4 linked regions of the Elephas maximus indicus genome follow. The protein of the gene in region 1 binds, or shares a complex with, the protein of each later gene. Links are inferred from orthologs where the notes say so. Each region holds a gene or a part of one and is shown on either strand. Other genes may lie near its edges. The genes, in order: GNAI1, C5AR1, XCR1 and PTAFR.

Region 1 (7,436 bases):
AATGGTGGGGGTGTTTTGAAGAGAAGATTATCTTGATTGAAGGTGGTAACTAAGTTGGGATAGGAGAGAAATTAGCACATGACATCTGTTGAGGGACAGAGAAAAATGTACAGTTTGTGGATGGAAGGTCTCTGCAGTCTTGAAGAATTGATGGTGATAAGAGAGGGGGCTGGAAAGATTAGAATGGAGGTCAGAGTACGGGGTAGTCATGTTCTTTCCATTGTTCCATAACAATCTCCTTTTCTCCACCTGCATAATACTTGAGAAGAGTCATGGCTAAAATGCAACTATGGCAAATTCCCCCCAAAAATCCTGCTCTCCGTCTACTATCCCGTGTATCTCTCACTCTCCGCAATTAAAACTACTGAGTCTCTTCATTCAGCTTCTGCATTCTCAGTGTTTACACACTCCTTCATTCTACATGGTAAAGCTTCTGTTCACAACAATAGATCAAAGTGCTTTGGTGCATTTGCCAACAATCTCTTCCTGTTGAAATTAAAGACTCACAGGAACTTAGAATTGTTGGGATCGTGCAGATGATCTAATTCAATGCCTACATTTTTCTAGATAGGGATAGTGTAATTAAGGGACATTTAAAGACATGTAATAGACACAGTTTAGAATTGCTCTAAATTCTCCAGTTTACCTACTTACAGCTTCTTTCACCATACCACTATTGCCAATGTTCTTTTTCTTCATACTTGTCCCTGTTGATCTTTTTCTAATGCATTTGAAATCATAAATAGCCATTTTTTTCTTAAACTTCTCCCTCCTTCACTTACGTGCTTATAATTCTTAGTGTCTCCTAGCTTCATCGACATATAAATTAGGCTCACATTTCTATTCATCTCCGATGATTTTAAGATGTATCTGCTTCAGTAGGAAATTAAGCCTTCTAGAAGTATTTTCCAGGTATTTCTACTAGTCCACCAAGGTGGCTTCATATTCACACGAGCACAAACAAGTCTGTTGTCTAAAGTCACTGCCTAATGTCCTTCTGTTTTCCTCTTTTCCAGTGTTCCCTTTTGTCATTGCCACTGGCAATGAAGTTACTTGAGGGAGACTGAGCACTGCCCATAGTGCAGTGCCCATCAGGAGGATGTGACTATCCATGCCCAAAGTACTGTCTTTAGATGGCTTTTAGTGCCTCGGTGCTCAGGTGCCTGAGTCGTGGTACGCTCCACGTAGAGACGATGACCTCCATATCATCTCTGAGCCAGATGTTGCACCCTGTGTATCTGAAGAGCCCTTCTTGTCTCACGAAGTATCTTAGTAGTAATTCTATGAGCTTTTGTTTTTTGACCTTTGCCCAGAATCTCACAGCATGGCTAATGCAAATAGTTTGGGTTTGGTATCTTTATATCTCTAACAGTGTAACAGCACAGATGCCCCTCTATCCTTCCAATTATCCCTAATCTTTCCCCAATCCAAACTCTTCCCTTCTCATTTAGAAAGCAAAAAACTCAAAGCAAACAATAGAGAAGTGTACACATAGCACAACTGCTCCTAATTTAACCAGCCAAAGATGTACTATACACTGCTCTTTTGATCGATGTATGTTTATAGGTCCAGATATAGATATCTATGTCAAAGTCCTAACTCTCTTATATGGTTCCAGTTTATCCCCACACTAATCCACTGACACACCAAGTCAGCATATCTCAAATCCACTCTTCTTACGTTCTTTGGCTTCATTTTGTCAGATGCTAGGACATGCAAGGAAAAGGTTGGAGGCTAGAAGGAGTTTCTGAGTTCTAATCTCAGTTGACACTAATCCCATTTGTCTTCTGAATAACATAGAATCTCAAGGTTGGAAGGGATCTTAAAAGTTATCTCATCTAGCTTTAGACTGTGCCCGGTAAGATATCATACAACCTAAATTTGTACATACTAGTCAAGGATGTTACAAATGTCTCCTTTCAGATGAATTGTACACTGTTCTTCCTTACATCAAGGTAAAATTTGTTTGCTGTAGCTTCTTTCTACTACTTCTAAATCTACCACTTTGGAGACAGAAAGAAAATGTTTATTCCCTCTGATTCATGACATCCCATCAGTTACTTGAAAACAGCTATCATGTCACTTTGTAGCTTCTCTTTCCTACATTACATATTTTCAACTTCTTCAATTATTCCTTATGACAGAGTTCAGAGTTACTTTAAAACCTAGATGTTCTCTGCTGAATGTGTTCCAGTTAGTCTCTTGGCATATGTCTCTGACTCTCTTAATATATGATGCTCAGTATTATTCAGTAATGAAAAGAAATATTGATATATGCTACAACATAGATAAATCCTGAAAACATCATAAGTAAAAGAAGCCAGTCACAAGTGATTACATATTGCATTATTCCATTTCTATGAAATTCCAGAATAGGCAAATCTAGAGACAGAAAGCATAATGGTGTTTGCCTAGGACTGGGGGAGAGGGGTGTAAAATGGGGGCCTGGGGAGTGACAACTAAGGAATGCAGCATTTCTTTTTGGGGTGACAAAGATGTTCTGACATTGATTGTGGCGATGCTTCAACAATTCTGTGAATATACTAAAAGTCACTGAATTGCGTACTTTAAGAGTAAATTATATGGTATGTGAATTATATCTCAATAAAGCTATTTAAAAAAGAAACGTGATGCTTAGAAAGGAAATCAGTACTCTGAAACAAAGTGTTTTCACCTCTAAATCTCAGCTTCACTCTCTCTAAAATGGATGAGTTAATAAACTCTTTACCTTGTTGATAAAGTTGTTGAATCATATTTTGCTACCTCATAATTATGTAAGTTATTAATTAGTTTGAGTGACTTTCATCACCTCATATCTGGATTACTAACACAGTCCACTTGTTGGTAACCCATTTTTTTACACATAGTGGCAAGAGTTTTTTTGAAGCACCTATTCCCCAACTCACTAAGAAGAATATAAGGAACACTTAGTACCCATTGTATCAAGTCCAATTCTTCACCTTTGTATTTAAAGCTCTTTTCCAACTTTGTTCTATACTTCCTACCATTCTTCACAGCCCAGCTAAATTTTAGTTATAAAACACTTGTTCTCTCCTATAGACACTTTGCATATTAACCCTTTTAGCTGGTTATTACTCTCAAACAAAATATACCCCTTGAAACTCCCCACCAATCCCAGTCATCATATCCTTCAAAAGTTCTTTCAAAACTTTCTTCTCTTGGAATTTGCCCTCAGACTGATCACTCTATTACCTGTATCCTCTCAGAAGTTTATATACAGCTAATTTGAAGTTCTTATTCTTTCATTATTATCCTTTAACTCCTAAACTACTTGACAAGATTATCAAATGAGAGAGGTAATGTTTATGATTCTGTTATACCTTCTTTTCTCCAAAACACTTTCTGTAGTCATTTCCACCAGTACTCCGCCATGATTGCTTCATCTTTTGCTGCAACTTTTTGTTAGTCATATGCTCTATCTGGTCCGAAGCTTGCAGGAAAAAAGAATCACAGTAACAGATAATCCAAAATGACTAATACACAAACACTATATCGAAAGTTAACTTCCTTAAGCTTAATTTCAGAGTTACTCATGAACATCAACATTTAGAGTGCCAAGAAATACAAAAAGGTAACTCAAGGCTAATTTTTACAGATGAATTTCAGAAAATAAGACTTCCAGATAGATATCAATTTCTAAGTTTTAGTACATCAATGAAGAAATTTGACTACCAGCCCCATCTTCTAATCAGTCAGCCTTTCCTGTGGTGTGTGTAAGACAAAGATGGAGTGCAACAATGGCAGTTGGGATCACCAGCCTGACAGGGAGAGATCAGGCAGTGAACTTAAGCAATTATATTAGGCACTAGATACTGGGTGAAATGTCTGTCCAGCCCCAAGAGCTCATCTTGCCCAAACCAGTTAGAGCTGGAAGAATGGGGCCATCAAGTACATCAACCCTTCACCATTTTATGAGTGAGGAAGCTAAGGTCTGTTAACAGGAGTGCCATGCCCAATGGCACAGGAGTTATTAACAGGGTCATAAATACTGGTTCAAAATTTGACAAGGAAGTTCACAAGCTGCTCCAGAGGAGGTCTGTTACGGTGTGGAGCAGATTTGTTTGTGTGGGTGTGTTTTATTGCTCTGGTCATTTTTTATACATGCTTTGATTCTTTGTCTCTCATCTTCTCAGATTATGAGGAAATCCTTCAAAATGTTGTTTGTGAAAAAGAAAAGTGATAATGGGTGGAAGAAAAAAGGACATTACAAAGGACGGGAAACTGAAGAAAAGGAGAAAGTTACTGACCCGTTTTCTCCCCGACTTTTCCTGCTCCCCACTGTCCCCATCTCTGGTTCCACCGCGGCTCCGTTCCCTTCCCAGCTGCCTGTTTCCCACGGCCCAGAACGCCACCCGACAGGGGTTCTACATTTTGAAAACCCTTGCGTGGGTGCGGAGCTGGGCATGCTCAAAAGCTCAGGACTGGCTTTGCTCGGCTCTCAACTTTGGCAGCTCTCCCACCGCCACACCGAAAGCGGCAGGTCCGCACAGATCCCTCGGTGTGAGTAAACGGGAAGAAATTATCGCACTCCCTCGGAGGGAGGCGGGTGGCAGAACGCGAGGACCCAGCCTCACCGGGCAGTTCCGCGCTCCTGTGGGCGCTTCCAGGGCGCGGGCTCGGGGGGTGGGGGGTGCCCGGATCTCGGGGACTGCTCGGCGCCGGGGAGCGGCCGGGCACGTCGGGAACGCGGGGGCGCGCCCCTCCGAGGGAGCTCTGTCCGAGGCAGGTGCGCGGGAGCGCGCTCTGGGAGTGGTCCCAGGCTGGCGGGAGGGGCGGGCAGGGGCGGGGCCGCGGCGGCGCGCGGACGCCGAGCTCCGCGGGGCTTGGAGAGGCTGCGGCGCGGCCAGCGGCGGGAGGGTGGCAGCTGCTGCATCTGGAGGCTCCAGATCCCGGGCTTCTGGGCGCTGAGGGGCGCCAGGAGCGGAGCCTGGCCTTGAGGAAAGGCTTTGAAGAGGCCGCCTGCTTCCTTGCAGACACCTTTTTCCTAGATTCCGTTGACGAAGTGGGTGGGGGTGGTGTGGCCCACGTCGGGAGGTATTTGAACTGCCGCATCCAGAAAGAAAGAATTTCCCCGTGTTTGGAGACAGCACATCGGACGTGGAGGGAGCGGCGGTAACCTCTCGCTCTTGGCACAATGGGCTGTACGCTGAGCGCCGAGGACAAGGCGGCGGTGGAGAGGAGTAAGATGATCGACCGGAACCTCCGCGAGGATGGCGAGAAGGCGGCGCGCGAGGTCAAGCTGCTGCTGCTCGGTAAGGGCGGCCAGGCCGGACGCCGGGGTGGGGAGGACGGCCTGGGGGTCCCAGGGGCCGAGGGGGAGCAGGCCGGTGGGCTGGGCGCGGCGCGCCGGGCTGGCTGCTGCCGGGGCTCGGCGTCTTCGAACCCGAAGGGAATGTGTCGAAGCGGCCGATGGCGCGTCTTGTAGCGCCCGAGGGTGGTTTCGGAGAGGGAGGCTGTCCAGGGCGGTGCAGCGCCCAGGGGTGCCCTCCTGTCCCCCGGTCGTCTGCCTCCCATCGCCGTGGAGGGCGAGAACTCGGCCGCGGTGGGGCAGGAGCCTCACTTCATCCGAAGCTTTCGTGTGGCCCCTGCAGGTAGCCAGGGAGCGATTTTAAAGCGGCAGATGGCGCGGAAACCCTTTTCTTTGAAGTTAGCTCAGCCTTGTAAAGATGAGCATTCATGGCAAGAAAATAAGAGTCTCCCTCCCCCGGAGACCTTTCATACCCGGTGTTGTGTCGCGGTTGTGGTTTCACTAGTCCAGAGTGGCACTTTGCGTGAAATCAGTGAACCTTTTGTGGGGCCTTTGGGGTTGAAATGTGTCTTTCCTGTCAACTTCCGATGGCGATTCAGTAAGTGTTACAGGAACACTGATTGTATTTACCTTGCGGAAGGAAATAGGCTGCTCTACGTGCTTTATTTTTCCTACTCCGGGGGCATGGAAACCACCAAAGTTGGGTTACGTTCGCTCCAGTCGTGGATCAGACGGATAAATGAGTGAGGAAAACTGATGTGAAAGGTGCGAAAGGGTCACGCCGACAACAGGATTCTCTCTCCGGCCGCCACGGTTTCTGATAAATGAGGTTTGCCAGGTACAAGCCAGGATTTTGTTTAGTCTTAGTCCTCATAATGAAACGTTACGTGGAGGACTTTTTCCATTGCTAATGGGGGAGAAAATAAAAAAAGAGTAAACCAGGGTTTTGACTCAGGGATATGTTAGGAAGATATTCACAGTTTAAGATGTTTAGTTTTATGAGTTAGGGTTTTCTTTTGTTTCCTTGACTCCCTTGCCCCCACCCCCACCCCACTCTAAGTAGAGACAGGTTTCTCAGAATCTTCATTTGCACTTCCAGCGATTGCTTATATATATATAGACATACATACAGTTATAATAAAAGAGAAATATTGCAGAAACCTGTTTTCAGCAAGCGTCTGTGTCACTGGTTTAATGACTGCAGAAAAAAATGGTGGGTTTTTTTCCCCCATCACTAGCAAGCTTAGAAGCAGCGAACCTGGCATGACTAAAAGTAACTATGATCTGAGTCATTCTGAAAGTAAACTGAAATAACTTTGCATTTCAAAGACCTGAATGTCTTTACCTCCTCCCCACAACATAAACCTTCCTCAATTTATACTGTTTACCTGAGGTTTTGCATTAATACCAAAAAACCAAACCCCGTGCCGTCGAGTCGATTCTGACTCATAGCGACTCTATAGGACAGGGTGGAACTGCACCATAGTTTCCAAGCAGCATCTGGCAGATTCGAACTGCCGACCCTTTGGTTAGCAGCCGTACCACTTAACCACTACGCCACCAGGGTTTCCTTACATTGATAAGAAATACTATATTTTTGACCAGGTCAGTATATTTGCAGTGTACTGAGCACAGAAGAGACACAATTTGCTAAAGAAACACTTCGACTTTTGTGAATTGCATGAGCTTGAGAGTAAAAATAAGACAGGATTAAAAAGTTCCTTTGTTTAGTTTTTGCCCTCCTGCTCTGGTATTATTTTTGTATATTTCATCGTATCTTAGCTTGAGCCAGCCATCCACCATGTTTAAGACAATTGCAAAATGATTCCTCTGGTGGTGGTGGTTTATGCTTTAATGAGATGTCTGTTAGAAAGGGATAGAGTTTATTTTTACTTATATTCAGAATAGACTAGTGTTTCTCAACCTTAGCACTATTGATACTTTGGGCCAGATAATTCTGTGTTGTGAGGGCTCTTCTTACATCATGCAATATTTAGCAGCATCTTTGGCCTCTTATGATTTGGATGCCAGAAGTCTCCCCCTCAGGTTGTGACAACCAAAACTATATCCAGACATTGCCAAACGTTTCCTGGAGGCAAAATCAACCCTGGTTGAGAACATCTGGTCTGCATTAACAAATATAGTTGAGTGTGTGATGTAGAACCAA
Region 2 (7,493 bases), on another chromosome or scaffold:
GACAACTAGATGGTACCTGGCTACCACCATCGACCGCTCTGACAGGGATCATAATAGAGGGTCCCAGACAGAGCGGGAGAAAAATGTAGGAAAAAATTCAAATTCACAAAAAAAACAGCAGACTTACTGGTCTGACAGAGACTGGAGGAACCCCTGAGACTATGACCCCCGAACACCTCGCTAACTCAGAACTGAAGCCACTCCCAGAATCCACCTTTCAGCCAAAGATTAGACAGCCCTATGAAAAAAACAGGAGGGAGCCCTGGTGGCACAGTGGTTAAGAGCTTTGCTGCTAACCAAAAGGTCTGCGGTTCAAATCCACCAGCTGCTCCTTGGAAACCCAGTGGGGCAGTTCTACTTTTTTGTACAGGGTCACTATGAGTCAGAATCAACTTGATGGCAACAGGTTTGGTTTTGGGGTGGGGGGGATGAAACAAACAATAACACATGTGAGGAATGTGCTTCTTAGTTCAATCAAGTATACATAAGACCAACTAGGTAACACCTGCCCAAAAGCAAAGACGAGAAGGTAGGAAGGGGCAGGAAAACTGGTTGAATGGACACGGGGAAACTGGGGTGTAAAGGGAAAGGGGGAAAGTGCTGACACATTGCAACCAGTGTCATAAAACAATTTGCTTATAAACTTTTGAATGAGAAACTAATTTGCACTGTAAACTTTCACCTAAAGCACAATAAAATTTAAGAAGAAATAAAGACTAAGAAAAAAACTGAGGCAGGATGACAGGCTTATTGAAATGTTCAGAAAGCATCTCTGACTTCTTCAAGAAAGCTATTACCATGAAAAAAACAAAAACAAAAAAAGGAGCCCCTGGGTGGTGCAAATTGGCTGCTAGATGAAAGGTTGGCGGTTCGTGTCCACCTCAGAAGAAAGACCTGGTGACCTGCTTCTGAAAAATCAGCCATTGAAAACCCTATGGAGCATGGATCTACTCTGACACACATGGGGTTGCCATGAATAAGAATTAACTTGACAGTAACTGGTCTGAACTGGAAGCAGTAAAAAACGTAAACACATTTAAAATATGCGGTGAAAAAGACAAGCTTCCAGGTATTTTGAGGATGCAATGAATGAACTGCCTCTCAGGTTGGCAAAAGTAAAAAAAAATGCGATAAAACTGTGGGTGAGGGCATAGGGAAACAGGCACTCTCAGGCACTATAGGTGGGAAATATAAATTGATACAATGTTGGTAATCTGTTAAAATAAAAATTGCACATGTCCTGGATTCAGTGTTTGCAATTCTGGAAGCTCAAAGGTAAGTCCAAAGATATAAGTACAGGAATACTCATTGCCGTTTTAGTTTTAAAGCTCATATATTAGAAACAACCTAATTCTCCATTGATAGGATCAACCACCAACTGGTACCCATGTGTTATGGATTGAATTTTGTCCCCCCAAAATGTGTGCCATATTCGCTAGGCCATGATTCCCAGTATTGTGTGGTTATGCGCCATCTTGTGATCTGTTGTGATTTTCCTGTGTGTTGTAAATCCTACCTCTATGATGTTAATGAGGCAGGATTAGAGGCAGTTATGTTAATAAGGCAAGACTCAATCAACAGGATTAGGTTGTATGTTGTGTGAATCTCTTTTGAGATATAAAAGAGAATATAACAGAGAGGAGGGGGACCTCCTACCACCAAGAATGAAGAACCAGAAGGGGAGCACATCCTTTGGACCTATATCCCTGTGCTGAGAGGCTCCTAGACTAGGAAGATCGATGACAAGGACCTTTCCCCAGAGCCCGACAGAGAAAGCCTTCCTCTGGAGCTGAAGCCCTGAGTTCAGACTTCTAGCCTCCCAGACTGTGATAGAAGAAATTTCTCTTTGTTAAAGCCATCTAGTTGTGGTATTTCTATTATAGCAGCACTAGATAACTAAGACACTGTGTTTACATCTGAAGGAAACGACAAGGGGTCTGAGGCTCAGGGGTGGTCAGGGAGAGTGAATTTTCACTGAATCCCCTTCGGTGTTTTGGAATATTTTACAGAAAGGACGAAAAGAAGAAGCAGCAGCAGCTAGTAAGTTGCCCTATTCTGAAAGTCCTGTTTGCCCAAGTTGGATGTTAAAGGTGGGATGAGGAGAGTGAAGCAACATCAAACCCCTCCCATGTCCATCCAACTTGTTTTCCGTTTCCCCTTTTGGCCAGATGAAGCAATACCTGAGAGAGACTCCAAGTGCTAACCCACAGCCCTGCCCAGCTTGGTCCCCAGACCTCAGGATGCAGATGTGTAAGGGGGGCCCTCGCTGCACCGGGGGACAGCATCCCTCTGAGACTCACAGGATCCAAGGAACGTATCAGTTCTGCCACCAACCACTGTGAAGGACCCAGGCCATTTCTGCCCTGGCCTGGGCTTCAGTTTCCCCATCTCCACTATTGAGAATATATGAAATTCCACGGGAGTAACATCTTCATGCCTCCAAGCTGGCTGTCTCCAGCCTCCCAACATTCGCCCCTTCTGTTCCAGCTGCCTGGAACTCCTTTCTGAAATTCTTCTCTTGTGGAATTCTTAGTCATTTTTACAAGACCCAACTCAAGGGTTTGCTTCCCTGGGAAATGTTCTTGGACCTCCAGCCCTGTGGGGTTGCTGTGGCTCCCATTGTCCCTTGACAGCCTTAATCCTTAAACTTCATCCCAGCCCTGGAGTCCGAGACTCTGAGATGAGGAAGAAGGGAGAAGAGGAGTGATTGAGGAGGGGGATAGGGAGGAAAGAAAAGGAGAAACACGAGAATGAAAATGCTGGAGAGAAAAAAGGAGCCGAGAAATGAGGGAACAAAGGTAGAGAGTTCCTATGTCCAAGCTCCTTCTGAACTTACCATGTTCTGGTCTTCTGGGCTCTTCGCTGAGGGAAGGTTCCTCTTGCCCACAAGGGCTGTGGTTTTTAAACCCCCAAGGGAGGGTGCGGAGAGCCGGGGAGGAAATGACCATCTTTCCTTTCTGGGGTTCTGATTGGTCTGTGCACTGGACACTCTGCTGGGCCCCCTTTCTGGGGCACACACACACCCAGGGACTCCGAACATCTCCCCCCAGTCAGAGGAGGGAGGACAGGGCGTGGAATACTGAGGAAGTCCCTGGTATGAGAGAGGAGAAAGCCAGCTGGAAGAGCCCCCTGGCCCCCACCCCAATCTGGGTTCAGCCCCTTTCTGTGCCTTGGCTACCCCATTTTAGAGCTCTCTCTTCCCTTTGCACCACAGCCCAGGGACCCAGCTACCTTAGACTCCCACGGGGGCCTCGGGAAGCAGGGTTTGTGGCCCCTGCCTCCCAGCCAGGTTGCTCTGAAGTGCAGAGAAGCCAAGCAGGTCTGAGGAGGTGGCCCAGTGCTTGGGCACATTTTGCTGTTAAATCTTCTTTCCTAGGGTTTTGAAAAGGAACCCTAATTGCACAATGGCTAAGCTCTTGGCTACTAACCAAAAGGCTCCACAGGAGAAAGGCCTGGCAATCTGCTCCCATAAAGGTTTCAGCCTAGGAAACCCTATGGGCCAGTCCTATTCTGTCACATGGAATGGCCCTGTGTCAGAAACAACTCGACAGCACCCAACAACACAACAGAGTTTTGAAAGGAGTCCCCAGGTGGTGCAAGCAGCTAATTCGCTCAGCTGTTGACCAAAAAGTTGGCAATCTGAGCCTACCTAAAGGCACCTCGTAAGAAAGGCCTGGCAACATGCTCCCAAAAAGTAACAGCCTTAAAAACCCTATGGCGCACACAGTTCTACTCTGCACACAGAGGTCAACGTACGTCGGCAGCAACTAGTTAGGGTTCTAAAGTTGGTAGGAGAAGCCACCCCCTGAGCCACAATTGTCTGACTTGGAAATGGGACCTGTGTCTTGTCTGTTTCAGCCTCTTTCTGGTTCTCTGGGAGATGTGCTGGAGCCAGGATAGAATAAGGATCCTGTATTAGTTTCCTACAGATGCCATAGCAAAATACCACAAACCTGGTGGCTTAAAACAATGCAGATTTATTCTCTCACGGTTCTGAAAGCCAGAAGACCAAAATCCAGGTGTCAGCAGGGCTGTGCTCCCTCTGAAGGCTGTCAGGGAGAATCCACCTTTACCTCCTCCAGCTTCACGTAGCACCAGGCATTCCTTGATTTGTGTGTCTCTGCCTCTGCCTTCACGTAAAACCAAAACCAAACCCACTGCTGTCGAGTCGATTCTGACTCATAGTGTCCCTACAGGATGGAGTAGAACTGCCCCATAGAGTTTCCAGCCCTGTAATCTTTACAGAAGCAGACTGCCACATCTTTCTTCTGCAAAGTAGCTGGTGGGTTCAAACTGCCTGTCTTTCGGTTAGCAGTCAAGCACTTAACCACTGCACCACCAAGGCTGGAGCCAAAATCCAGGCGTTGAGTTTCCTCCTGGAGGAGGGCTTCTAGAACTGCCTTCCTTGGCTCATGGCCCCTTCCTCCATCTTCAAAGCCAGTAGCCTAGCATCTTGCTTCCGTCCTCACATTGCGTTCTTCTTCTGTGTCACATTTGCCTCTTATAAGGAGCCTTGTGATTGCGTAGGAGGGCTTTGCTTCCTCTAAAGCCCCTAAGGGAGAACGCTTCCTTGCCTCTTCCACTTTCGGGTGGCTCCAGGCGTTCCTTGACTTCTGGCCCCATCACTCCTATCTCTGCCTCTGTCTTCACAAAAAACCAAAACCAGCCCATTTCTGTCACATCGATTCCAGTTCATAGCGACCCTGTAGGACAGAGTAGAGCTGCCCCATAGGGTTTCCAACCAGAATGACATATCTTTCTCCCCCCAAGCAGCTGGTGGGTTTGAACCGCTGACCTTTCGGTCAACAGCAGAGCACTTTAATCACTGCACCGCCAGGGCGCCTACGCAATCACAAGGATCCTTATAAGAGGGAAGCAGAGGCAGATTTGACACGAAGAAGAACGCAATGTGAGGTCTGAAGCAAGACTCTAGGCTACTGGCTTTGAAGATGGAGGAAGGCGCCATGAGCCGAGGAAGGCAGTTCTAGCAGCTCTCCTCCATGAGGAACACAACACCTTGAATTTGGTCCCAGCCAGAATTAGCCAGCACAGTGGTTAAGCGCTCAGCTGCTAACAGAATGACTTGCAGTTCAAACCCACCAGCCGCTTCACAGGAGAAAGATGTGGTGGTCTGCTTCCATAAGGATTTACAGCTTGAGAGACCCTGTGGGGCAGTTCTATTCTATTCTATACAGTCGCTATGAGTCGGAATCAACTCCACAGCAGTGGGTTTTTGGTTTTTTGTGATTGCATTTGGGGATCACCTAGATAATCCAGGGTCATCTCACCATCCCAAGATCCTTTACTCCATCACATCCGCAAAGACCCATTTGCCACGTGAGGTAATATATTTGTAGGTTCTGGGGACTCGGACTGGACGTCACGGAGGCCATTATTCAGCCAATCACAATGAATGACGATGCTGACTGAAGATTGCAAACCAGGTGCATTTTACACACGCTGTTTTGCAATCCTATGATCTATCATCCACCTCCTTCCTCCACAGTAAATATTTTTCTATGACAGGCAGTGGTGGTTCGGTGGTAGAATTCTCATCTTCAATGGGGGAGACCTAGGTTCAATTCCCAGCCAATGCGCCTCATGAGCCAACACACGCCTGCCAGTGGAGGCTTGCATGTTGCTGTGATGTTGAACCAGTTTCGAAAGAGCTTCCAGACTAAGACAGACTAGGAAGAAAGACCTGGCGATCTACTTCCAAAAGTCAGCCAGTGAAACCCTACGAATCACAACAGTCCAATCTGCAACCCATCAGGGGTATGGCACAGGGCGGGGCAGCATCTTGTCCCACTGCGCACGGGGTCGCCGTGAATCAGGGGCAGCTAACAACAACAACCAAGTATTTCTCTAGGGCGACTTCGATTTTTAAAAATTGAAAAGAATGGTGGTGAGATAACATGGGTAGAGATGTCGAGAACGTTGACGCAATGTGATGAATGTAACCAACGTTATTGAATTGTACCTGTGGAAATTGCCAAATGGGTATATGTCCCGCTGTGTATATTTTCACCAAAATTTAAAAAGAAAAAAATAGTTTTCTTTTCATTACAGAGGTAATCCATGCTCATTGCAAACATTCCAACAATCCGGAAATAACTACTCCCCCCCAAAAAATTAAGCTTTGAAAGTCCCCTATCTGCCACCCTGTTGAAACTCTTCCTAGCAGTTTGGAATGTATCGCCCAGACTTCTACAAATGTGGTATTTGTGTTTGGGGATGGGCACATGGGTGTATGCTATTCAGCAAGTTTTGGTTCCATTGAACGAAGCCGTGTGTACAGTCCGCTGTTGTGTGCCATCGAGTCGATTCCAACTCATAGCAACCCTATAGGACAGAGTACAATTGCCCCATAGGTTTTCCTAGACCATAATCTTTATTGGGGCAGATTGCCTGGGCTTTTCTTCCAAAGAGCAGCTGGTGGGTTCGAACCACCAACCTTTTGCTTTGCAGCTGAGTGCTTAACCATTGCACTACCAGGGCACCTAATGTACAATCTGCTGACTCAGAAAGGATTTTGAAGTGGATTTACAGAGATTGAGGGTGCACCCTAGGAATATGGTGTTGTGTTGAACCTGACCTCAAGGAGGCGCTTGAGGGGGAAGTGGGGAGGAGACGCAGGAGGCCAGGTGACACCCACTTTACTTTTATGATTTTGGATCCAAGTTATATATCCCCTTAAATCATGAGTTAAGATTTTCTATGCTCTGGGCCCCTGGTGAAGCTCTGGACCTCTTCTCAGAATGCTTTTTTTTGGATAATTTTTTTCTTTTAATGTAATTTCAAACTTAAAAAGAAGTTACGAGAATAGCAAAGGCAATTTCTGTATGCCCTCCACCCAGACTGACTCTTGGTTAGTAATTGTTCTATGTGCTTTAGCATGTTTGCGCTATTTATGTATGTGGGGTACCTATCTGTATATCCGTATCTATGGTGGCAAAGGAAACCCTGGTGGCCTAGTGGTTAAGAGCTATGGTTATTAACCAAAAGGTTGGCAGTTCGAATCCACCAGCCACTCCTTAGAAACCCTGTGGGCAGTTCTACCCTGTAGGGTCGCTATGAGTCAGAATCGACTCCACAGCAGTGGGTTTTTTGGTTTGTTGCCATCCAGTAGATTCCGACTCATAGCGACCCCTTGTGTGTCAGAGTAGAACTGCTTCATAGGGTTTTCTTGGCTGCAATCCTAACTGAAACAGATTGCCAGGCCTTTCTGGAGGATGGCATGTTGCTATGATGCTTAACAGGTTTCAGCGGAGCTTCCAGACTAAGACTAGGAAGAAAGATCTGACAATCTACTTCCAAAAATCAGCCAATGAAAACCCTATGGATCACAATGGTCCTGTTGTGCATACGATCCCCACGAGTTGCTGACTTGACTGCAGCTAACAACTACAAATATCTATTATCTATCTATACATTTTTTTCCTGAATCATTTACGAGTAAGTTGCATCCATCATGGGCATTTACCACTATATTC
Region 3 (6,997 bases), on another chromosome or scaffold:
AACACAGCGATTAAGCACGCAGCTGGTAACTGAAAGATCAGTGGTTTGAACCCACCAGCTGCTCCACAGGAGAAAGATGTGGAAGTCTGCTTTTGTAAAGATTACAGCCTTGGAAACCGTATGGGGAAGTTCTACTCTGTCCTATAGAGTCACTATGAGTCGGAATCAACTTGATGGCAACAGGTTTAGTTTTTGGTTTTTTTAGAGGTGCACTGTAAGAAGGGCTCATAGAAGTTCAACTGAAGAGAAATAATACCAGATGGAAACTCAAATCTTTAGGAAGGACAAAAGAGCACTGGAAATGTAAAAAAGGAAATAAATAGAAAATATTGTTATTTTAAATTTCTTTAAAATATCTAGATATTTTAAAGCAAAAATTATAAAATTGTATTATGGGATTTATAACACATAAATATAATACACGTGACAACTATAACGTAAAGGATTGGGGGTGGTTAAATAGACTAATATGGTTGTACAATTTCTACATTTTATGTGAAGCAATACAATATTTACTCCAAGTTAACTATAAAAAGGTTAAGATTTTATTATAATCTGGATCAGTGACTGAAAAATAATGCAAAAAAGTATAGCTAAAAAGTCAATGGATAATTAAAATGGAATTCAATTCAAATAGTTGAAAAGAAGGCAGGAAAGGAGAAACAGGTACAAAAATCAAAAGAAGACAAACATAGCGGGTAGTAAAACAGTAGATCTGAATCCAATCATGTCAATAATTACATTAAATGATACTGAAAGACAAAGATTGTCAGAATGGTAAAAGAAAGTAAGACCCAACTATATGCTGTCTACAGGAGACATATTTTAAACATAAAGACACAGATAGTTTGAAAGTAAATGGATGGAAAACATATTACCTGAGAACTCGAATTAAAGAGGGTCATTATAGGAGTCAATTCATCAAGGAGACATAACAACCATAAATCTATATGTACCTAGTAACAGAGATTCAAAATACATGAAGCAACAACTAGCAAAATTAAAGGGAGAAATGGACACATCCAGAATCATAGCTAGAGATTTTAACACCCTTTCTGAGTAGTTGATAAAACAACTGGACAAAAAAAAAACCCATAAAGTCATAGAAGATCTGGACAAAACCATGGACCAACTTCATGTAACCGACATCACTCCTGAAAACTGCAGAGTATGTGTCCTTTTCAAATACAAATGGAATATCCACAAGGGATAGACCATATTCTGGATTATAAAAGAAGTCTTAATAAATTTAAGAAGATCAAAATTACATAGACTATGTTCTCTGACCAAAATGGAATTAGAAATCAATAACAATTAAGATATCTAAAAAATTCCTAGTAATTCGGACATAAAACAACATACTCTGAAAGGCTTTATGAGTCAAAGAAGAAATCACAGGGGAAATGATAAAACGTATTGAACTGAGCAATAATGAAAATACAACGTATCAGAATTAGTGGACTGTAACTAAAGCAGTTAAAAAATTTTTTTTTTTTTTAACTAAAGCAGTGCATAGAGAGAAGTCTGTAGCTTTAAATGTTTACATTAGAATGAAGAAATTTCTAAAATCAACGACCCAGAAAAAGCTAGAAAAGCAAAAGCAAATTAAACTCAAGGTAAGTAGAAGGAAGGAAATAATAAAGATAAAAGCAGAAATTAACAAAATAGGGAATGAACAAGATAGAATATGAACAACAATAAAATTGGTCCCTTGGAAATTAAAAAAAAGAAAGAAAAAGCTAAAGCCCTAGCTAGCTAGTTGGATTGACAGATTGAAAACAAAAAGAGAAAAGTACAAGTTGCCAATATGTATGAAAGAAGGGTTATTACTGCAGATCTTATGGACATTAAAAGAATGACAAATAGTATGTTCAATTTTATGTTAACAAATTCAACAACTTAAGTGAAATGAACAAATTTCTTTAAAAATTTAACCTACTAAAATTGACATGAGATGACACAAAAATCTGAATAGTCTTATAATTATCATAGAAACTAACTGTAGCAAACCTTTCCACAAAGAAAACTCCAGAGCCTGATGATGACTTTTCTAGTGAATTCTGTCAAATATTTAATGAGAAAATAATACCAAGTCTACAAACTATTTCTGAAATAGAGAATAGATTGCCTTCCAACTTGTTTTATGAGGCCAGCAAAATCCTGTTACCAAAATCAGACAAAAACATTGAAATAAAAGAAAACTACAGACCAATAATCCTTACCAACACAGACACAAAATCTTTAAAATTAAATCCATCAATATATATAAACAGAATAATAAATCACAACCAAGTGTGTTTATTCCTGAAATGTGAGGTTGGTTTAATAGTCAAACATAAATTTAAATCACCGTATTAATGGAATAAAAGGAAAACCAGTGACCTTTTCAATAAATGCAAAAAAAGCATGGTAAAGTTCAATACCTGTTCATGATATAAACTCTCAGAAAACCAGAAATAAAAGGAATATGGGACATCTACAAAAACTTACCCAGTTTTCTGTTTCTTACTCAATAATTTACTCAAAATTTCAGAGACATTCAAGTTTTGGGCCTGGAAAGGCCCTGAGGATACAAAGAAGGATGGCACTCAACTCCAGACATCTCTGAGTTACATACCAGGGATTTGGCTCCCTTTTTCCTGTCATTCTCTTCTTCCCCAACTCCACGGCCCACCTCAACTCTCAGGGAGTGAATTTAGCTTTCTGACTCACAATGTAATTTGGACTGAGAGACACTCTTCTAAATCATACAATAGTTAATAATACCAAGGCCTACACAAAGGTCTGTAACCAAGTAATCCCTCCACTTCTTCAGTGGTAAAAAAGGAAAAAACAAACGAACATTCTATAGGTTACTTCTACCGGAAGTGTGGTTCACAGACCAGCCGCATCAGACCACTTGGAGCTTGTCAGAAACGCAGCTTCTTGGACCCCCACCCCAGATCTACTGAATCAGCACCTTTGGAAGTGGGGCCTAGAAATCTTATTTTCCTAGCTATCCAGGTAGTTCTGATGCCCACCAAAGTTTAAGAACTCCTGGTAAACAAACTCCTGGTAGAGGCTTTTAAAAGCAGAGGAAAATGTAAGCAAAGGAACTCACCTGAATCTACACCTCTTCACATGCGTCTTGAAGCAGAAATGGTGCTTCTCTTTCTCCTCCCCCAAATCTGGGAAAGTCTTCACTACTTCCTCCTCTTCCCATCACCCAGTGGCTTGCTGGCTTGATCCACCCCCAACCTCTCTACTCCCACCCAACATCTCATGTTAGAATCTGGCTGCATCACTGCTCACACAGAAATTAGCTGGTCACCCAGACTCTCTCCACAGGCGTGTAGGGTCTACAACTCAAGGGTCATTTGGGCCCCCTGCGTCCCACCAAGCATAAATGCAGGTAATTTGGGATTTGGAAGAGATTCTAAAGGGCAGGATACAACAACAACAACAAAAAGTTGCATTTTGATTTTACCAAAAGTTTGATTTGCTTAACGAACTAGTTATGCATGGCTATTATTATTTTTTAAAAACTGAGGTAAATTTCACCGTTTTAATAATTTCATGGTATACAATTCAGTGGTTTTTAGAATATTAATAGTGTTGCACAGCCGTCATCACTATCCAATTCCAGAATATTTCCATCACCTCAAGAAGAACCTTATACCTATTAGCAGTAAATTCCGCTTGCCCTCCCCCACTCCCCGGCAACCACTAATCTACTTCCTGTCTCTATGGTTTTGCCTATTCTTCTCATGCTCAAAGAAAGAGAAACACCTAACCATTTTCATACAAATGGAATCATACACTATGTGGGCTTTTATGTCTGGCTTCTTTTGCTTAACATAATGTTTTGAAGGGTCATTCATGTTGTGGCATGTGTCATCACTTTATTCCTTTTTATGGCTGAATAATATTTCATTATATGGACATATAGTGCCACATTTTGTTTATCCATTCATCAGTTGATGGGCACTTGGGTTGTTTCTACTTTTTGGCTATTATGAATAATGCTGCTATGAACATTCATGTACAAGCTTTTATGTTAACATGTTTTCGTTTGTCTTGGATATGTATGTAGGAGTGGAATCACTTCATTGTGTGGTAACTAGATGCTTACATTTTTGAAGAATTGCCAAGCTGTTGTCCATAGTGGTTGCACCATTTTACATTCTTGCCAGCAGTATTCCCGTGTTCTGTTCGAATGACTGCCTCTTGGTCTCTGTACAGGTTCCTCGTGAGCACAATTAAATGTTCTGGGATTCCCATTCTTCACAATGTTACCCATAATTTGTTATGATCCACATAGTTGAAAGCCTTTCATAGTCAATAAAACACAGGTAAACATCTTTCTGTTATTTTCTGCTTTCAGCCAAGATCCATCTGACATCAGCAATGGTATTCCTCATCCCACATCCTCTTCTGAATCCGGCTTGAGTTTCTGGCAGTTCCCTGCCAACGTACTGCTGCAATGATAACCAGATTTCAGTGCAGCTTCCACACTAAGAAGATTAGTAAGAAAGACCTGGTGCTCTATTTCTGAAAATCAGCCAATGGAAACGCTATGGATCACAATGGTCCCTTCCTGTTGTATGTGGGATTGCCATGAATCTGGGGCTGACTGAACAGCAGCTAATAACAACAGCAATAGTATCCAGTTAGGAGACCCTGGGTAGTACAAATGGCTAAGCGCTTGGCAGTTCAAATCTACCCAGAGGCATCACAGAAGAAAGGCCTGGAAATCTACTTCTGAAAGATCACAGCCATTGAAAACCCTATGGAGTGCAGTTCTACTTGAAACACGTGAGGTTGCCATGAGTCTGAATCAACTTGATGGCAACTGGTTTGGTTTGGTTTTTTAGCATCCAGTTATTCAATCAGTCACTAAAATGGGTGTTGTAGATGTAATTAACATCTACAATCAGTTGACTTCATATAAAGGAGATTATCTTTGATAATCCAGGTGGGCCTGACCCAATCAATTAAAGGCCTCAAGAGCAGAACTCCATGAGGAAGAAGAAATTCTGCCTGACTGCAGCATCAACTCTTGCCTGAGAGTTTCCAGTTTGCCCTTCCTGATAGCCTGCAGATTTTGGACTTGTCTCCTTAGCCCCTATAATCACATAGCCAATTCCTTGCAATAAATGTTTCTCTGTAGGAACATAATCTTGATGAATTTTCTGAATTGGCTGTGGGTTTTCTGGAAAATAGCAAACCAAAACCAATACTGTGTTTCTGGAGGGATTGCAGAAGTTAGTTCTCTAAATTTATTAGATTTAAAGGAACTAATGACTATTTCCTGTGGTAAAGAGGGCCCTGGTAGTTCATGGCATAATGTGGCTATAGAGATACACAAAATATTGTCATTGGATACTTCTAATCAAATACTTACAAAAGGCAAGTTTCTAGGCCACCATGTATTTGGTAATTTAGAACATTTTAGTCAAACTAAGGAAATAATGGTTTGACTGGTTGCTCCTAACTGTCCTAGACAAAGTGAGGAAATAGAGGCTGAGCTTAGGGCTTCCAACTCTCAGTTCAAGTGCCACATAAATGACCTGAAAGCGTCCATGTCTGTTGTGAAAGAAACCTTTATTTCCTTTAGCTGCAGGGCTGAGATTTCTGAAATTCAAACTCAAAGACTCTCATTCTGTGAGGGGCTGAATTACAATGCAAACTGAATCCCCAACCTCACAGGGTGTCTTCTGTTAAATTGAGGCCATTGATCGGGAAGGAATTGGATTCTAAAAATTGGAATGAGGAAATAGGGGAAGATCTTAGTGAAGCTGGGGACAAGAAACCTCTAAATTTTGCTGAGTCTTCTTTGCCAGTATAAGCAGCCCTTCACTCCTGTCTGAGGAAACTGACCCTGCTTAACCTAAAGAATCTTTAATGGCCTCCCCTGAGGTATTTGCCTTGCAAGGTGCTGCTGATTCTCTTCAGGACCTACCTCCACCATCCTTCTTTGCTTCTAGACCTGAAAGGACTCAAGTCCCACCAGTTCCCAAAGGATGAAGTACAAAGTATGACTCATAAGGAGGTTCACCACACATAAAAAAAACATTATTTTTCCAATTTGTATAGACAGAAATCTAGGTAATATATGTGGGAATAGACACTAAGGGTATAGGATAAGCGTAGAAGGTAAGTAAAGTTAGATCGGGCCAAATTTATTGCTATAGGCTTTCTAAGTACAGATTCTGGATTCAGCTTTTTAGCTTGAGGAGTTAGAAAGGACTCTAATTGTTCTTTGTTCAGTTGGCTGAAACATGGACCAAAAGGCAGGCTACACTAAATAAAGTTGAAATGTCAGAACAGCCTTGGTATACTGCAGAGGGAACTGTCCAAAATCTTAGGGAGAGAGAAATAATTGAGTGGATTTTTCATGCAAGATCTGCTCATTCTCCCAAGGAAGGTCCATACCTTTCACCACTACTATGAGAAATAAATTTATAAGGGGAAGCCCAACATCCTTGAGGATCTCTGTAGTTGCTCTTTTCTGTAGGTCAGAGATTACAATGAAAACCGCTGCCACTGAGGTGACATCTGTAAATGCAATAGGAATACATAATTAGATCCAAGGGTGTCAGGAGCCAAGTGGTGGCACTTAATCACCAAAGACAAGGTGGATGTGGTTACCGTAATGAACAGTAAGGTCAAAGAAGTAACCAGAATAGTTTGACTTGCGGAGACCTGTGGCACTGGCTAGATGATCATGTGTCCCTAGAAAAGAAACAGTCTATTAAATTCTTACTTGGTGTGTAGAATCAGAAGAATTTTAGGTTGAGTGAACAGAAGACTAACTTTCATCAAAACAGAGAGTCGTGGCCCCTCCTAGACTTAAAACAGTTTACAGACCCAGAACCCCTTGAATGAAGGAGAGGCAAGATCCCCTTGAGGAAGAACCCTGGTCCACTGCCAAAATTTTATACTGGTTAATTTTATACTGTTAATCTTTCTCCAAGCCTTCCCCAAAGGGATCTAGAACCGTTTACCTGGGTCACTG
Region 4 (7,964 bases), on another chromosome or scaffold:
AATGTTTTATTGAATGAACAAATAAGTAAACAAATCAGTCATACAGGAACCCAGTCACATCTCCCCTTCTGGAAAAAGCATCCAGAGGTGGCTGGAGAGAAAGCCGAGGAATTAGGTTCAGGAGACCTAGACCCTGGCCTCAGCCGTGTCACCCACCCACCCATCCGCAGTCCTGAGTGAGTCTTTTCCCAGATGGGAGCCTTGGGATTTGTACCAGCAAAATAGGATGCCCCACCCACCTGAAAGCATTGATTGTTGTGAGAAGGAAATGAGATTCCTGGGGCTGACAAAGGCTTTGGTAAACAGTAAAGCACTTGGTAAACTGAAAAGCCCTGTATCAACTGTAAAGGGTCCTGCACAAAGTTTTTTGCTTTTTTTTTTTAATTGTGGTAAAAACAAAAAAACAAAGTTTGCCATTTTAACCATTTTTAAGTGTACAATGCAATGATGTTAATTAATATTCACTGTGTTGTGCTACCAGCACTACTATCATTTCCAAAGGTTTTACATCACCTCAAACAGAACTCAGTACCCTTCAGCAATAACTCCCATTCCCTCCTTCTCCCCCCAGCCCCTGGTGACCACTTCATACACTTTTGTCTCTATGCATTTGCCGGTTTCAGATATTTCATATAACTGGGATCATACACCATCTGCACCCCCAGCTAGGTGAGCTCAACTCCAAACCCAGACCCTGAGCGGCCCCCTCCTGCTGAAGAGGGTGGGAAAGGGCTGCTGAGTGGTAGTCCTCTTCCCCACCACAGACATTCACACACACACACACACACACACACACACACACTGGAGCCTGAGCACACACATTTATGCACAGGCTTCTTTTTGATTCCTCTTGGCTGAAGGCACCAGGGAAGAAAGGAACAGAGGAGCCACCAGCATATCAGCCTCTCAGCTGGTTTTGTTAGTGACACTGCTGCTGGGAACTGTTGGGCTGTACCAGGGCCCACCTGCAAGTGGCACATACTCCTGGCCTGCCCTCCAGACACTTGTGGGTATAGCAAAAGGCAATTCCCCAATCCACACACACAGACACACACATGCAAGATATATGCACACACAAAAAAAGGTTCCTCTCCCCTCCCACCATGCTGCCAAGGAACCCCATGGTGGCTGGTCAGAGAGGTGGCAGGGCTCGGGGCTCAGCATTTTCCCTCCTGGGAACTGGCTCCCCCAGTCCAACACCCTCTCACAGGCCCAGTCACAGAGCACTCTCAGGCTATAGCTCGGCTGTCATTCCCTCCTGGGCCTGGGCCTCCACCCAGTGGGGGGCTCTAGGTAAGACAGAGGACCAAAATAGGGAAACTGAGGCTGCCATTGGAAAAAAGGTGAACCCCCATGTCCCCATCAGGGCCTTGTTCACAGGCCCTTCAAGTCTCCCCAGAAAAAGGACAAACAGGCTGTGTCCCAGTCTTTCACAACAACCGCCTCTCCCCTTCCCACTTTCACTCCAATACAGATCAGGAGAGAAAGCTCAGTCCTGGGTGTGCATTTTGTCATTAATGCCATAGACTATGAACATCATATCTAAACCCTGAGTTGGACGGATGTGGAAACTGAGGCCTGAGGTGACAACAGTATCACGGGCAGAGCTGAGACCAGAAGAGGGACCTCTGGCTCACTATCCATTCCTTTCTGACTACAACAAATGACTTTATCATTCATTAAGTCAATGCGTATTTACTAAGCATCTACTATGTATCAAACTCTGTGCTAAAGGTAAGGATAGAACACCGAACAAAGCAAATTCCTCATCCTAAAGGTGTTTACAGTAACAATTACAGTGTCAGGAATTCTAGTAATGCATTGGCTCATATCATGCAGCATGTTACAACTGACAAAGCACTTTCACACTTGGCCTCAAACTTCATCCTCCCCACAAACCCACAAGGTCAGTATTATAAACACCAATCTTCAAAGGAGGAAACTGGGGGTCTCGGATTGCCCAAAGTCTCAGCTTGCCAGCAAACACTGAAATCAAAACCCTGGGTGCCCACCTCGGGCCCAGGACCATTTCTGCAGCCCCGGAGCTGACTTCTTTCCCAGGCTGGGCTGTTAGTACCTAAAGGGAAGGACTAGGCTTTTCCTTTTGCTTCTCTAGCACCTCCCCCACCTCCAAACACACACATTCATGCCAAGCACCTGGCGCACAGCTGTGTATTCAGTCAGAGCTACATCAGAGCAGCCCAAATGCTTACAGAATGCCCTCCCTCCCCTACTGATGCCGTCATTCCACACAGGCGAGCAAGTGCCTGGGCAGGAACCCTGCTCACCAAAGCTAGCGAGGGACAGGGAGGTAACAGCCTGGGCCCTGTCCCTATCGCCTAGGACCTGATGGGGCAATGGTTGTGGGCCTGGCCTTTTGTACCAATATCCTCATTATCTTCATCATCTCCCAGGAAAACCTAGCATTTAGTGAGCTCCCAAGTACCCAGACCTCTGCTAGACCCTCTATCCTCCTGACAATCCTGCCAGGGAGACATCATTCTCATTAGACAACTGAGGAAACCGAGGCTCAGAGAGGGGTGAAACTTGGCCAGGGTCACACATCCAATAAAGTAGATGGCATTCAGCTCCCTGAGAGCTAGGAAGCCACCTCTCATCACCACAGCACCTCCAGTGAGGTCACCTCAGCACTGTCTTGGCTGACCTCAGACAACCAGAAAGGGGAGCTAAGTCCCCTGGAAAGTTTGGCCAGAAGAAATTCTTTTTAAACATGAGGCTCTGGGCCTGAAGAAGGTACCAGAATAGTCCCTTAAAAACAGAAGCACCCATTTGATTAAGTGCAGCCTCCCCCCTTTACCCAGCCAGGGCTGGGGCCCCCTTACCTGTACCCAGGGCAGCGGCCACAGTTGACTGCAGGGTCTGAGTGTCTCCGTCTGGGCCGCGGCCCCAGCCTCACCCTCTGTGCTGACTGGAAATTGCAGAAGTGAGAAAACAGAGCACACCCCTGCCAAGTCACCCCCGGGAGGAAATGCCGTGACCCTAGGGCCCCCAACGGATGTCACAGAAACATCCAAGCTGGGCCACCCGGGCCCTGGGTACTGCTTAGAAGCTTCTAACAGAGCAGGGGCAGTGCGCTGTGGGCAACAACCACAGTGCTAGGGAGCTGGGTCAGAGAGAGAAAGCGTGAGAGTGCACTCCAGAGAGAGAGAGAAATTGAGCATGAGAGTGAAGAAGAGGAGGGAGGAGAAATGAGTGATCCAGAAAATAGAATGAGGAGGGAGGAGGGAGAGGAGTTAGGGGAAAATGAGAGAGGGCGGAGGAAGAGATGGAGGGAGAAAGGAACACAGAGAAAGACAGACAAATGTAAACATGGAGCGAGAGCATGACAGGAATGAAGACGCTACAAGGACAAAGGTCAAGAGAGTTAAAAGAGAAAAAGATGAGACGGAAAAAGATGGGACCCAGACAGTGAGTCTGTGCCTCTGTGTGTGTGTCTGTGCCTCTGTGTGTGTGTCTGTGCCTCTGTGTGTGTGGGGGGGGGGCGGTCAGAGAGAAAATAAAAGACAGGGAAAAGGTGAAAAGAGAGAGCGAACTAGAATATAAAAAGGATTAGAAGGGAGGGGTGCAGGGTTGCTACTGTGACCAGCGAGAGGCATGAATGGTGTGGGCATCCCTGGTGACCAGGAAGCACAGAGCCCAAAGAACCCATGGGGACAGAGTTTCTGCAGAAGTGGAGGAGGGAAACTTCATAAGACACTGAGCCAGAGTTTGGCAGCATGTGGATTAGTGGGCATGAGGATGAACAGGTGTGGGCAATTGAGGGTGAACACAGGTAAGCATGTATGTATGAGCTTGGTGGGGGCTTCATGTGTATGTAAGTGAGGGATGGCACAGAGCTCCCTGCCTCAGCCTCCAGTCCATTTGTTCACTCATTCTTTCAGCCTGCATTTACTGAGCACCCCCAGCGCCTCCAGGTACCATGAACTGTCTGAGGAAGCAAGACCCTCCCTCATATATTAGCCAATTTAACCCTCTCCAACACAGAGAAGGAAACTAAGGTTCAAACAGAGTGCCAGAGAAAGTCAGATGCTACACAGCCATGAGTGATGGGTCCATCCTCAGCTCCACCTGAGGGTTTGGGCTAGCCTCCTCCTGCTGAAGGGACCCCATGGCTGCTCCTTATCAAAGCCAAAAATAGCTTTCAAAGGATAAACCACCTTTAACATAGGCCTCGGCCCTTAAGACCTACAGCCAAAATCTTCCCCTCCCCCCTGAACCCACCCACCACATAGAGGCAGACACACTCAAACCACGTACACATAACCCTTGCACACTCACAGGTACTCCATAGAAACTATCACATTAAGACATCCACTCACAATTATGTTCTTCACTCGCACGTCAGCTCAGCCACTCAGGTGCCCACACATACTCCCCTTCTTACGCTTACTGCCCAGACTCACTTACTCCCTCATGCTCATTTAACCAACACAAGCACTCTCCTCAAATCTCCTGACGTGGCCCAAGCCTCCTGTTAGGAACTTTGAAACAGACCCAGTGTGATCATCCTTCCTTATCTCCCTTAGAGGCCCTTGGAGCCTTGAGTGCCCTGAAGCGCAAGAGAAAACATCTGTTCATTGCTTTTAACCCTCAAGTAAATTGTCCCCCTGAAAGCCAAATCCCCAGCTCCCCAACCCAGGCCCGTTTTCCCCAAACCTGCTTTACCTCCTCAGCTCTCCTCTAGCTACAAGACTCCAGGAGGACATCAAGCCTGGGAGGGGCTCCTGGGGTCCACCAGCCTTCCTATGGCCACTCCCAGGACACCCACCTAAAGGTCCAGGATTCCTGGGTACAGGGCTGTTTTTCCATAGTCCCTTACATGCGTACTTGTAGCAACTGCACAGCAATACCTCTTTTGAGATTATCAATAAGCAGGGTAGGATGCCAGATATTACTACCAACATTTTACAAACGGGGAAATTGAGGTTTCCCCAACTCCTTCTTTCTCTCATACTTCACATCCATTCTGTTAGCAAATTCTGTCAGTTCTACTTTAAAATATATCCAAACCTGAAGAATATGTTCAGGTAGCTAACAGATACATAAAGAAATGTTCACGATCATTAGCAACTAGAGAAATGCAGATCAAAACTAAAATGAGATTTCATCTCACTCCAACAAGGCTGGCATTAATCCAAAAAACACAAAATAATAAATGTTGGAGAGGCTGTGGAGAGATTGGAACACTTCTACACTGCTGGTGGGAATGTCAAATGGTACAACCACTTTGGAAATCAATTTCGTGCTTCCTTAAAAAGCTAGAAATAGAACTACCATACAACCCAGCAATCCCACTCCTCAGAATATATCCTAGAGAAATAACAGCCTTTACATGAACAGATATATGCACACCCATGTTTATTGCAGCACTGTTTACATTAGCAAAAAGATGAAAGCAACCAAGGTGCCCATCAACAGATGAATGGATAAATAAATTATGGCATATTCACACAATGGAATACTATGCATCAATAAAAAACAGTGATGAATCTGTGAAACATTTCATAAGATGGAGGAATCTGGAAGGCATTATGCTGAGTGAAATTAGTTGCAAAAGGACAAATATTGTATAAGACCAGTATTAGAACTTGAGAAATAGTTTAAACTGAGACGAAAACATTCTTTTGTGGTTACGAGAGGTGGGAGGGAGGAAGGGTGGGAGAGGGATATTCACTAATTAGATAGTAGATAAGAACTACTTTAGGTGACGGAAAGACAACACACAATACAGGCGAGGTCAACACAATACAGGCGAGGTCAGCACAACTGGACTAAACCAAAAGCAAAGCAGTTTCCTGAATAAACTGAATGCTTCGAAGGCCAGTATAGCAGGGGCAGGGGCTTGGGGACCATGGTTTCAGGGGACATCTAAGTCAATTGGCATAATAAAATCTATTAAGAAAACATTCTGCATCCCACTTTGAAGAGTGGTGTCTGGGGTTTTAAAAGCTAGCAAGCAGCCATCTAAGATGCATCAATTGGTCTCAACCCACCTGGACCAAAGGAGAATGAAGAACACCAAGGACACAAGGTAATTACGACCCCAAGAGACAGAAAGGGCCACATGAACCAGAGACTACATCATCCTGAGATCAGAAGAACTAGATGGTGCCCGGCTACAACCGATGACTGCCCTGACAGGGAACACAACAGAGAACCCCTGGGGAAGCAGGAGAGCAGTGGGATGCAGACCCCAAATTCTTGTAAAAAGACCAGACTTAATGGTCTGACTGAGACTAGAAGGACCCCGGTGGTCACGGCCCCCAGAGCTTCTGTTGGCCCAGGACAGGAACCATTCCCAAAGCCAACTCTTCAGACATGGATTGGACTGGACAATGGGTTGGAGAGGGATGCTGGTGAGGTGTGAGCTTCTTGGATCAGGTGGACGCTTGAGACTATGTCGGCATCTCCTGCCTGGAGGGTAGATGAGAGGGTAGAGGGGGTTAGAAGCTGGGGAGATGGACACGAAAAGAGAGAGTGGAGGAAGAGAGCGGGCTGCCTCATTAAAAAAAGGGGGAGAGTAATTGGGAGTATGTAGCAGGGTATATATAAGTTTTTGTGTGAGAGACTGACCTGATTTGTAAACTTTCACTTAAAGCATAATAAAAATTATTAAAAAGAAAAAAAGAAAACGAAACAAAATTATAAGAAGGGGAATGTAATTCCGGAGATCACCCTGAACAAGTTTCACCTGGTCACAATATTGGAAATACTTTTGATTTTCAGTTTTTAGGCCTAAACCATCATGGATGACTTAATTATACCTATAGAACAAACAGCAAATGTTTCAGTCTTGAAATGTAAAGGTATATATGATGGAAGGTTGAAGGGAGTCAAAAGTTCATAGTTGATGGAACAAGAAATAAAATAGTGATTAGTTTATTGCTCCTGGTTTCAAAGGTATATAGAGGAACTATTAAAAGTGTTGTAAGTGCATCGAGAAGATAGGAGTAAGCAGAGATGGAGGGCAGAATATCATTGAAAATTTGTTAGGTAAAGAAAGGAGGTAGTACAAATGATTTATGTGCTCAGCTGCTAACCAAAAGGTTGGAGGTTCAAGTTTACCCAGGGGTGCCTTGGAAGAAAGTCCTGGCCATCTACTTCTTTAAAATCAGCTATTGAAAACCCTATGGAGCACAGTTCTACTCTGATACACATGGAGTTTCCTTGAGTCAAAGTCAATGTGACAGCAGTTGGTTCATTAAGTAAAGAAATAACCATAAACAACGGAACAGCTAAAAGAGTTAGAAGAGATGATCTCTGGGGAACTGAACTGGGAATGAGAAGTTATGGGGCAGGAAATTATTGCTTGTAACTATACATATATGTTTCTTTTATGAAAATCATATGAAAAAGACCGGAAGGCTGTATACCAAGATACTTGTCCTGTCTGGAAAGGATAAGGAGAGGAAATGAGACTTTAATATTTTGTTCCATATTTTTAGGTATTGAGTCATTTTTAGTGAGAATGTGTCCATGTATTACTTACCCAGTTTTTCAAAAAGGTTTCATGACAATTTTAGACATTAAGAAGTTACTGTTAAAAAAAAAGTTCTCTTGGGACAGCTCATTCAACTGGCATCACAAAGTTTGTGTTCAACATCCTAGTGAGTAAGTATTATCAGAAGTCTTAAAAGCTTACAAGCAGCCATCTAAGATACAACTGTTGGTCTCTACTTGTTGGGAGCAAAAGAGAAAGAAGGAAACCAAAGTCTCAGAGAAGAAACTAGTCCATAGGGCTGATAGCCTACATGAGCCATGGCCTCATCTACCCTGAGGCCAGAAGAACCAGATGGTCAAATGGACACAGGGAACCTGGGATGGAAAGGGACAGTGTGCTGTCACATTGTGGGGACTGCAACTAATATCACAAAGCTATATGTGTATAAATTTTTGTATGAGAAATTAACTTCAGCTGTAAACTTTCACCTAAAGCACAATAA

The links.
Region 2: the proteins of GNAI1 (region 1) and C5AR1 are in contact, whole or in part, in a cryo-EM structure (PDB 8HK5), measured with the Homo sapiens proteins. The link is inferred for Elephas maximus indicus from reciprocal best matches to the Homo sapiens genes GNAI1 and C5AR1. Residues at the interface, in NP_002060.4 of Homo sapiens: Arg24, Ala31, Arg32, Glu33, Val34, Lys192, Asp193, Leu194, His195, Lys314, Glu318, Tyr320, Phe336, Thr340, Asp341, Ile343, Ile344, Lys345, Asn347, Leu348, Lys349, Asp350, Cys351, Gly352, Leu353, Phe354; in NP_001727.2 of Homo sapiens: Asn71, Arg134, Leu137, Val138, Pro141, Ile142, Cys144, Gln145, Asn146, Phe147, Arg148, Ala150, Thr229, Arg232, Arg233, Ala234, Thr235, Arg236, Ser237, Lys239, Thr240, Val243, Val244, Ala303, Gln305.
Region 3: the proteins of GNAI1 (region 1) and XCR1 are in contact, whole or in part, in a cryo-EM structure (PDB 9AST), measured with the Homo sapiens proteins. The link is inferred for Elephas maximus indicus from reciprocal best matches to the Homo sapiens genes GNAI1 and XCR1. Residues at the interface, in NP_002060.4 of Homo sapiens: Glu28, Ala31, Arg32, Leu194, Asp315, Phe336, Thr340, Asp341, Ile343, Ile344, Lys345, Asn347, Leu348, Lys349, Asp350, Cys351, Gly352, Leu353, Phe354; in NP_001019815.1 of Homo sapiens: Glu63, Thr66, Arg127, Ser130, Val131, Pro134, Leu135, Leu138, Val140, Arg146, Tyr205, Leu212, Ser215, Ser217, Lys218, Arg219, Arg222, Thr223, Leu226, Ile227, Val290, Gly291, Val292, Lys293, Phe294.
Region 4: the proteins of GNAI1 (region 1) and PTAFR are in contact, whole or in part, in a cryo-EM structure (PDB 8XYD), measured with the Homo sapiens proteins. The link is inferred for Elephas maximus indicus from reciprocal best matches to the Homo sapiens genes GNAI1 and PTAFR. Residues at the interface, in NP_002060.4 of Homo sapiens: Arg32, Asp193, Leu194, Glu318, Ile319, Tyr320, Phe336, Thr340, Asp341, Ile343, Ile344, Lys345, Asn347, Leu348, Lys349, Asp350, Cys351, Gly352, Leu353, Phe354; in NP_000943.1 of Homo sapiens: Ile52, Arg115, Ala118, Val119, Pro122, Ile123, Thr125, Ala126, Gln127, Ala128, Arg222, Asn223, Val226, Arg229, Ala230, Met233, Val234, Thr297, Lys298, Arg301.

What each region holds. Positions count from the first base shown.
Region 1 is NC_064826.1:49,915,912-49,923,347, forward strand, and holds the start of GNAI1 (guanine nucleotide-binding protein G(i) subunit alpha-1), read left to right. Parts: upstream 1-4,429; 5' UTR 4,430-4,521; intron 4,522-4,681; exon of another isoform or gene 4,682-4,747; intron 4,748-4,838; exon of another isoform or gene 4,839-5,108; 5' UTR 5,109-5,155; coding exon 5,156-5,273; intron 5,274-7,436. UniProt on the Homo sapiens protein: Guanine nucleotide-binding proteins (G proteins) function as transducers downstream of G protein-coupled receptors (GPCRs) in numerous signaling cascades.
Region 2 is NC_064829.1:101,635,230-101,642,722, forward strand, and holds the start of C5AR1 (C5a anaphylatoxin chemotactic receptor 1), read right to left. Parts: upstream 3,058-7,493; 5' UTR 3,041-3,057; coding exon 2,837-3,040; intron 1-2,836.
Region 3 is NC_064838.1:50,384,556-50,391,552, forward strand, and holds the start of XCR1 (chemokine XC receptor 1), read right to left. Parts: upstream 3,118-6,997; 5' UTR 3,101-3,117; intron 2,615-3,100; exon of another isoform or gene 2,491-2,614; intron 1-2,490. UniProt on the Homo sapiens protein: Receptor for chemokines SCYC1 and SCYC2. Subsequently transduces a signal by increasing the intracellular calcium ions level. Receptor for XCL1/Lymphotactin.
Region 4 is NC_064821.1:68,600,418-68,608,381, forward strand, and holds the start of PTAFR (platelet-activating factor receptor), read right to left. Parts: upstream 3,102-7,964; 5' UTR 2,844-3,101; intron 1-2,843. UniProt on the Homo sapiens protein: Receptor for platelet activating factor, a chemotactic phospholipid mediator that possesses potent inflammatory, smooth-muscle contractile and hypotensive activity.